2 linked regions of the Neurospora crassa OR74A genome follow. The protein of the gene in region 1 interacts with the protein of each later gene in a biochemical or structural test. Links are inferred from orthologs where the notes say so. Each region holds a gene or a part of one and is shown in the gene's direction. Other genes may lie near its edges.

Region 1 (4,441 bases):
CTGGCGCAGGAGAAAGTTGCAGTGGGCTTGAGAGATGACGAGAAAGTCGAGGAGACGAGAGAACCTGTTGTCTTAAGGACAGAGAAATGGCGGGGTCCAAACATTTTCACTAAAATGGAAAGGAGGGGTCAGCCAATCCGAGAAGTGGGGGGCGGAGAAGGTACGTAGCTGCTCGCCACGTGATTGATTGTTGCGACTCGAGCTGTCGGCCTGTCGCCACGCCGCCTGTTTCGGTCTCGTTTGCCAGTGCGGCGGGAGACGACGAAACAGCAGGTCAGCTTGACAACGTGGAGTGGTATGAGCCTCTGCAAGTGTCATCTTTGGCGCATGTGGGCTTCGGATTGGTTCGTTGGCTCAGGAACACCAGTACGAACAAGTAAACAGCTGCCATCTGGTGTTGGCGCTTCCCCCCCGAGTCTCCAAGGTCCCGTCGGCCCTGACGCTGACGGCAATGACAATCAAAACTGCCACCACCCGTGTGTGTATAGTTGGCAGCTAAAGCGCTGGCAAGAGCTATCCAAAGACATCCGGGCCAAAGGACCGTAGACCCATGGCTCCATCATATGGCTTGTTGGGTCTTCATAGCGTTGCGATTGCCTCTTTCATTTGGAGTCCCCCTCTGTCAATGCAGCCATTGACGACATTGCGGAGCCATGGACGATACCCCAAGCCGAACAAGAGGGATGGACGGCATTAACGACCTTGATGGCCATGTCTGGGGTAGGGACCAAAAGGCGGTGGTGGTATTGTCAAACTAACAAACCTCACCCCTCATCTCGAGCGTGGATGGAAAAAAGGACATTCGAATTGAATCTGATGCCAAGAAATCCCGGGAATGGAAGCTCTCAGAGCTCTGCCACAGATAGAGCTTGGAGCTTTGGGCAAGCTCCCAGCCGGCAGGGAGAGCTCCTCTAGACAGAAAAGGCTCAAGAAGAACATGGCAACAAAAGTAAAAATGATAACGTACCGGTTGTGGAAGATGAAATCCTGGATGATTGTAGGATGATAATGAAGCTAAAAGTACAAGGTAAAGTCCGAACAAACGAACGATGGAAATCTGCTACACGGCGATGGATGCACAACAAAGACCTGAGACGAGAGGGAGAACGGAGTCGGGTCGGGTGTTTAACAATTTTTACTCCATCCAAAATGCATGGAAGCGAGCTCCGGCGGCCGAGCGTCCCCTCCCGCCGCCCCGCGTTGTCGGCCGGCCCGGCAATTACAAGCAGAATTCTTGCCTGAAAACTCAGGCTTCAAAGAGCTGAGACGCTCGTGCCAAGCTTTCAAAGTCTTGGCAGACCTCCTGGGTTCCACTGGCTTCTTGGTGTCAGGGTGTTGGGTCAAGCGCAGGGGTCGGCCTTGGACGGCGTCAGTTGAGGTCAGCGCTCAGCGGCACCCTGACGCTAGGCCACCTCAATGTCCATCTGATCCCGACAAGACCGTGAAACGTCGCCCTGAAAGCGATCAGCCCGAACAAAAACCACCAAGTCGCCACAGCATCCCGCCCGTCTGGCAATCATCACCGCGAGGCTCAGATTGGATCTAGAGAAGAATTACCTTAGCCCATCAGAACAATTCCCAGCAACTCCGGCGATAGACACGTTTACGCAATGGATTTCAATAGCCTCAAGGATACCGTGTCCAACCTGACACTCTACGACATCAAGGCTGGCGTACGAAAGGTTCAAAATGGTAGGTGACCACCTAGTCCAGAACCAAGACTCCCTCATGATTTCGTGTTCAGGGTGCTGACAATGGCTCCAACCAGCTGTCATGAACTATACCGAGATGGAGTCCAAGGTATGCCCGTATCCACGCGCCACACTGGCACCATTCTCTTGCGCCCTTCGCCATATACTTGATCCCAGACAAGAGACCATGGAACGGGAGCTGACAGCGAACCCAGGTGCGCGAGGCCACCAACAATGAACCTTGGGGTGCATCGTCGACTTTGATGCAAGAGATCGCCGATGGCACCTTCAACTAGTACGTTCTCGAGAACTGCTCGCTTGTATACGAACGCGGCTAACTTGCGTTTCCCTCCTTGTTCTTAGCCAAACACTCAACGAAATCATGCCCATGATTTACCGCCGTTTCACAGAAAAGTCCGCCGAAGAATGGCGCCAGATCTACAAGGCCCTTCAACTACTAGAGTACCTGATTAAGCACGGTTCCGAACGAGTGGTGGACGATGCTCGGTCGCATCTTACCCTCCTCAAGATGCTGCGCCAGTTCCATTTTATCGACCAGAACGGCAAAGACCAGGGTATCAACGTCCGCAACCGCGCCAAGGAACTCGCCGAGCTCCTCAGCGATGTCGAGCGTATCCGAGCAGAGCGCAAGAAGGCCCGCGCAAACAAGGGCAAGTTCACGGGCATTTCGGGTGGAATGAGCTTCTCCAGCGGGAGCAGCGGACGTTATGGCGGTTTCGGCAACACTTCGTATGGCGGTAGCAGCAGTGGTGGCGGTGGTAGCAGCTCTACCTACGGTGGCTATTCTGGAGGAGTTTATGGCGACGGAGGTGTTTTTGGTGGCCAGCCTTCCAACAACGACTACCGCGGGACCCAGGCACGGGCAGAGCAGTTTGAGGAATACGATGCAGGTGATTTGGACGCTGAGGCGTCGTCTCGTACCGCGCCAAGGACACCACGATCCACGACAGAAAGAGCCGGGGTCAAGAAAACAACAGCACCCGCCGAGCCGCCCAAGAAAAAGGAGCCCGAGATCGACTTGTTTTCCTTCGACGAGCCCGCAGCGCCATCCATCCCGACCGCGCCCCTCGCTGCCGCACCTTCCAACGGCTCTGGGCTTGCGGCTCTAGCCGGCGGCGCCAAAGACGACGACGACGAGTTCGATGATTTCCAGTCTGCAGCCCCCGCCACGCAGCCTGCTTCTGCAATTTCTCCCCCAATCGCCCCCCTCTCTACTGGCACACAGTTTGTTGCCCCGCAACCAGTTTCGGCGCCTCAGCAGGCCAACCTTAGCGGCATGGTTGCCCTCTCCTCCATCTCTCCTCCTCCCAGCTCCACGGCGACTCCTGCTGCCAACTTCTCGGCTTTCTCCACGCCCCTTTCGCCCGTCTCCCAGGCTCCCAAGCCAACTGGCTTCCAAGCCGGTCAGCCAAACTACTTTTCCCCGGTACAGCTGCAGACCCAGTCCACCGGGTCCTCGCTTTCAGGAACCAAGGCAACCGGTTCAGCTGCCTCCAAGCCAGCCGCTGGCGGTGACGCCTTCGGTGCGCTGTGGTCGCAGGCTAGTGCTGGAATCAAGAAGAGCACGCCTACCACCAAGGGTCCGGCTATCGGACAACTGGCCAAAGAGAAGAGTAGTGCTGGTATTTGGGGAACTCCTGCGCCCTCCACTCCGACCAGCGGTAGCAGGCCCACCACTGGCGGCAACCACGGGTTGGACGATCTGCTCGGTTAATTACCTGACTGGGTGTGAGGAGTTTTCCAAGGAGTATTTAGAACCGCTGTCGTCTACTTACGGAAGCGGGATCCTTGGAGTAGATCAAGGGTGTGCAGTTACACAAAGAGGAGATGAGCAGTTAAACGATTTATATTCCACGTAATGTTATTGGAGGTAGGGGTGGGTATCTTGCAGCGCCTCTCGTCTGCAACAAAATTTCACGTCTATTTATGCTGCATTCGGCTTCTTTGTGTTTGTCACGTTTTGTTTCCGCGTGCGAGTCCCTCAAAGAGTGAACTGATCCGTAACTTAAGTCCCCGTATACACTCATCCTCACCTTCACAATTCCAGAAGACCCAAGCCGGCTGTTGAGTCGCTCATGGTCAAGTAACCCGATGTTGCGGTCGATCTGTTGTTTTATCTTGTGGAATTCGCATAGCTTCCATCCCTGATGTTCGTTTGATGGAACTTTTACCACTGAAGCTCCTTGCCTTCTTTATTGGCTTCACTTCTGGCCCGTTATGAACTGGTGAACCCCCTCAACCCCCCCCCCCCCCCCCCCCCCCCCCCCCCTTTTCCGTCTGTCTTTATTTTTCTGGCATATCAGCCTCCTCGAATGGTTTGAACAACCGTAAGGCTGGAGCATCATCCCAACATGCAGTCCATCAACATGAGCTAGAATACTTCATCCAATAGTGAGTTCATGGATCGCAAAGTATGTGTCCAGTGACTCAAGCCTCCGCACTCGCCCTCGGCTCGGTATGACGGCGCAAGGCCAGCCTCGAACACCCTCGACCCACCGATCACAACCTCAACAGTCGATCAGTCATTACCACCAAAATGATTAATGACTACGAGCACCAAAGCGCACACTCATGGCCAATGCGTCGAAACGTCTGTTGCCGTGAGCAACACGGAAAAATCACAGATCAGTGGCTTTGATCTTGGAACCGTGCTCAACATCTATTTAATTCTCTCTACCATGCAGACGCTCTACTTATTTTTTTCTGGTCCAATTCTTTCCCTCGAGTTT
Region 2 (4,326 bases), on another chromosome or scaffold:
GTTCTCGTGGTTGCGCGTTATGCTGGACTGTTACCTCTCCTCCTGCCTCAAACCACCGAGTTCGGGAAGCAATGGGGTGAAGTTGACATGGATTGACGCTAGCACCTCAAGTTTCTCTCCGTTTGACTTTGTGTCCGTGGCGGTTCGTCTCCAAAGCAGTTATCAATCAAATCTTACTCCGCCTTTGCTAGTGAGGAGCCATTACCCACGGTGTTGTCTCCCAAGTGGAAGCTGTACCACATGAGCAAAGGAGCACTTCCGTCCGGAGGTTCAGATGAAACCCTACTGTTTGCTACATAAACTTTTCAAATGCACAGCTGCTGAGTTCACGTCATCAGGGACCACCAGCAAGACCGGAGACCTGTCAACGAGTGGGGATGACCTGCAGGATGATTGTGGCAGTGTTGCCTAGCGACATCAACCATCAAGCCCAGGCCGAATATGTGGATATCATCAGCCCTATAGGGATTTCCATATCGTACACATCCGTACGGCACAGCATCTAGAAAATCAACTCATCTCCCGATCACCGTTGATGTATGGAGGATCAGGTCATTGTCGGTCAGTGATGGCTGTAGGTTGCGCTGAGGCTGTTTGCTGCTTGTGATGCCCTCGTCAATTTCATCAGTATTGTGACCATAGATGAACCGCATGTTCCCCAAAACTGAAGCTCGATGATACAGTATTCGCACAGTCAATTGTCATATGGCCGAGCTTGTCAGTTGACAAACGCTCATTGCTGTCTTGTTGAAAAGCAAATAGTTAAGCATTGCTGTCGCCCTCATGCTCGATGTGTTCAGGACTGGTCCAGTACAGAATCAGCACTGACGGTGATGATGAGTAGCCTATTAACTTTTCTTCAGGACTTGAACAAGCTTTACATGTGTTTAGCCTTCCTTCTTCAACAAATCGCCGGCGTCTCATGCAAATCTTGACGGAACTCATGCTCTTATTCATCTTTCATCCTCACAGATCTAAGCGGTGACAAGATAAGGCCGCCCTACGTAGGTATCAAGAAGAGCAATGTCTGATGCTGTGGCTGGTCTCGGACAGGACATTCATCATTTTGACCCTAACCCTGATTACCCCTTTTCCGGCGAGGCCGTCAGGGTGCCTGACAAGACGGTCTAGGCCCCACCTTCCCGCCGTACCGAGTCGTTGCATCGCAGCTGAGGAACAGCACCGTGACCTGTCCAGGGTCCCTGAGGTCCATGCTTTTCAGAGAGTTTGGCGCCTGCCGTCGCGTCGTTGCCGGGAAGCTTTGCAGCAGAGAGGTGCCTGCCTGAGGCCACGAGTCCCAGTACTGTAGTACCTACCTCTAGTGTACCTACCTAGGTATCTACTGCTGCCGTGGTGCTGACCGTCACCGTCTGCCTGGGGCTGGGAGCGGGCTGGGAGAGGTCAAGTCAAGGTGGGGGGTGGACACACACGGTCAAGAGGAGCTCCAATAAGCGCATTCCATGGCCACATCGCACGCCCGCCCATTGTGTGCTGGGCTTCCACTTGTCGTGTTTCGGCCGGGTTCCCAAAAAGATGATCCTCTCTCATGAATGTCTACGTACCGCTGCTTTACCGTATCGTAACTTTGTCCATTGCGTGCCTCTACTTTCTTCGGATACCCCTTGCTTGAAATTCCAAAGAACCGCCATCCGCTCTCCGTTCCGCAGCTCCCCCGCCATCTCGAGAGCTCAAGCATCCGCTACCACTTCCTCTCTGGTCCAGATCCCCTAGACAGGCCCCCTTGCGGGCCCCTAATGATTGCATCGCCATGAGTTCCCGTAAGTGAGCCACCGGCATCGCCATGGTCCCAAGCCTCGAGCGACCAGGACGAGGCCAAAACTGACGCTTGTAATCGGCAAACAGTCAAGCAGTTTATTCGCAATGTCCGAGCCGCAAAGACCATCGCCGACGAGAGAGCCGTAATCCAGAAAGAGAGCGCCGCCATAAGGGCCAGCTTCAGGGAGGAGAGCCACGATCACAGCGTCAGGTGCATCTGAGCTGCCAATACCCAAGCTTCCCCGGGATCTCGGTTTGCTGATCAACTGTGTCATTGCAGGCGCAACAATGTGGCCAAGCTATTATACCTCTTCACCCTCGGTGAGCGCACTCACTTCGGTCAGATCGAGTGTTTGAAGCTCCTGGCCTCTCCGCGCTTCGCCGACAAGCGTCTGGGCCATCTCGCGACAAGTTTGCTGCTCGACGAAAACCAGGAAGTGCTTACTCTGGTTACCAACTCATTGCAAAAGTATGGTGCCCAGGAAGACGATTATGGGTGCGCAACGTGATGCTGACGCTCGGCTCGACAGTGATCTTAACCATTCGAATCAGTATGTGGTGGGCCTCGCCCTCTGCACCCTCGGAAACATCGCATCGGTCGAGATGTCTAGAGACCTGTTTCCCCAAATCGAAACACTTATATCGACGACAAACCCATACATCCGGCGCAAGGCAGCTCTGTGTGCGATGCGCATATGCAAAAAGGTCCCGGATCTCCAAGAACACTTTGTCGAGAAGGCGGCGCAATTACTATCGGATCGCAACCATGGCGTGTTGCTTTGCGGCTTGACATTGGTGACCAGCCTTTGTGAAGCTGACGAGGCCGAGGGTGGGGAAGAGGGCATCATTGAGAAGTTCAGGCAGTTCGTGCCGGTACTCGTGAGGACTCTCAAAGGACTGGCTTCTTCCGGTTATGCGCCGGAGCACGACGTTACGGGCATCACCGACCCGTTCTTGCAGGTCAAGATTTTGCGCCTTCTCCGAGTCCTGGCCCGCGGCGATGCTCAGACTACGGAGCAGATCAACGATATCCTCGCTCAGGTTGCGACCAACACCGACGCTACTAAGAACGTTGGCAACTCGATCCTTTACGAGGCCGTACTGACGATTCTCGATATCGAGGCCGATGCCGGCTTGCGCGTGCTGGGAGTCAACATCCTCGGCAAGTTCTTGGCTAACAAGGACAACAATATCCGTTATGTTGCGCTAAACACGCTGGTCAAGGTGGTGGCCATCGACACCAACGCTGTACAAAGACACCGGAACACCATTTTGGAGTGCCTTAGGGACCCCGACATCAGTATCAGGAGGAGAGCTCTTGATCTGAGTTTCACCCTAATCAACGAGAGCAACGTCCGCGTCCTTATCCGAGAATTGTTGGCTTTCCTGGAAGTGGCGGATAATGAGTTTAAGCCTAATATGACTAGCCAGATCGGTATCGCCGCTGATAGGTACGCCCCGAACAAGAGGTGGCATGTCGATACGATGCTCCGTGTCTTGACGTTGGCCGGTAACTACGTCAAGGAGCCCATCCTGTCCTCGTTCATTCGCCTTATCGCTACGACTCCCGAGCTACAAACGTACGCCGTGCAAAAGCTTTACACCAACTTGAAGAAGGATATCACCCAAGAAAGTCTGACGCAGGCCGGCGCGTGGTGCATCGGTGAATATGGCGACGCTCTTCTCAGGGGTGGTCAGTATGAGGAGGAGGAGCTCGTACAGGAGGTCAAGGAGCATGAACTTATCGACTTGTTCACAACCATCTTGAACAGCAACTACGCTACCCAAGTCACCACCGAGTACATCATCACGGCACTCATCAAGCTCACCACTAGGCTGCAAGACGCAACCCAAATCGAGAGAGTTCGCCGTCTGCTTCAGTACCACCAGACAAGTCTGGATGTCGAAGTTCAACAGCGTGCGGTGGAATACGGCAACCTGTTTTCTTTTGATCAGATCCGTCGTGGTGTGCTTGAGAAGATGCCTCCTCCTCAAATCAAGGAGTCCTCCCGAGTACTTGGTGAAGCTGCCAAGAAGACCACCAAGGCGGCGGGCAAGAAGACTAACAAGGCTGCCAAGCCCAAGGAAGAGGATCTCTTATTCGACCTCATGGGAGACACCAATCTCCCGTCTCCTTCTGTTCCCAACGGCGGGACGAACAATGCCGACCTCCTTGCCGATATTCTCGGCGGCACCACTTCGCCTCCGACCTCGGCCTCGCCGGCTCCCGCACAGTCAAACGTTGCCTCGATCATGGATCTCTTTTCGCAGGGACCTACCTCCACTCCGTCTCCCGCACCTGCACCAGCGGCTGCTCCATCAGCAGTCCTTGATCTCTTCAACACCACTCCGGCCGCCGCTTCGGCTCCGGCTCCTCAAGCGGCGCCCAAGCCCGCTGCTGCGGCCGGCCATGCTTGCTACGACAACAACGGACTGAACGTCACCATCCAAATACAGCGAAATGCCGAAGGCATGATCCAGGCTACGGCTCGCTTCCGCAACTCGTTCCCTGGCGGTCCGCTTTCGGCTGTCGGGTTGCAGGCGGCGGTG

The links.
Region 2: the proteins of NCU00725 (region 1) and NCU04121 form a complex in vitro, tested with the Saccharomyces cerevisiae proteins (2 studies listed by BioGRID). The link is inferred for Neurospora crassa OR74A from reciprocal best matches to the Saccharomyces cerevisiae genes ENT3 and APL4.

What each region holds. Positions count from the first base shown.
Region 1 is NC_026501.1:7,405,228-7,409,668, forward strand, and holds NCU00725 (epsin-3), read left to right. Parts: upstream 1-1,385; 5' UTR 1,386-1,610; coding exon 1,611-1,692; intron 1,693-1,768; coding exon 1,769-1,800; intron 1,801-1,906; coding exon 1,907-1,986; intron 1,987-2,054; coding exon 2,055-3,426; 3' UTR 3,427-3,722; downstream 3,723-4,441. Other genes in the region: csr-1 (peptidyl-prolyl cis-trans isomerase), read right to left, coding at 1-104. UniProt on the Saccharomyces cerevisiae protein: Involved in the recruitment of clathrin to the Golgi network and endosomes to form clathrin coated vesicles. Plays a role in the trafficking of clathrin between the Golgi network and endosomes.
Region 2 is NC_026505.1:4,912,605-4,916,930, forward strand, and holds the start of NCU04121 (AP-1 complex subunit gamma-1), read left to right. Parts: upstream 1-1,466; 5' UTR 1,467-1,768; coding exon 1,769-1,778; intron 1,779-1,863; coding exon 1,864-1,987; intron 1,988-2,056; coding exon 2,057-2,245; intron 2,246-2,306; coding exon 2,307-4,326. UniProt on the Saccharomyces cerevisiae protein: Adaptins are components of the adapter complexes which link clathrin to receptors in coated vesicles. Clathrin-associated protein complexes are believed to interact with the cytoplasmic tails of membrane proteins, leading to their selection and concentration.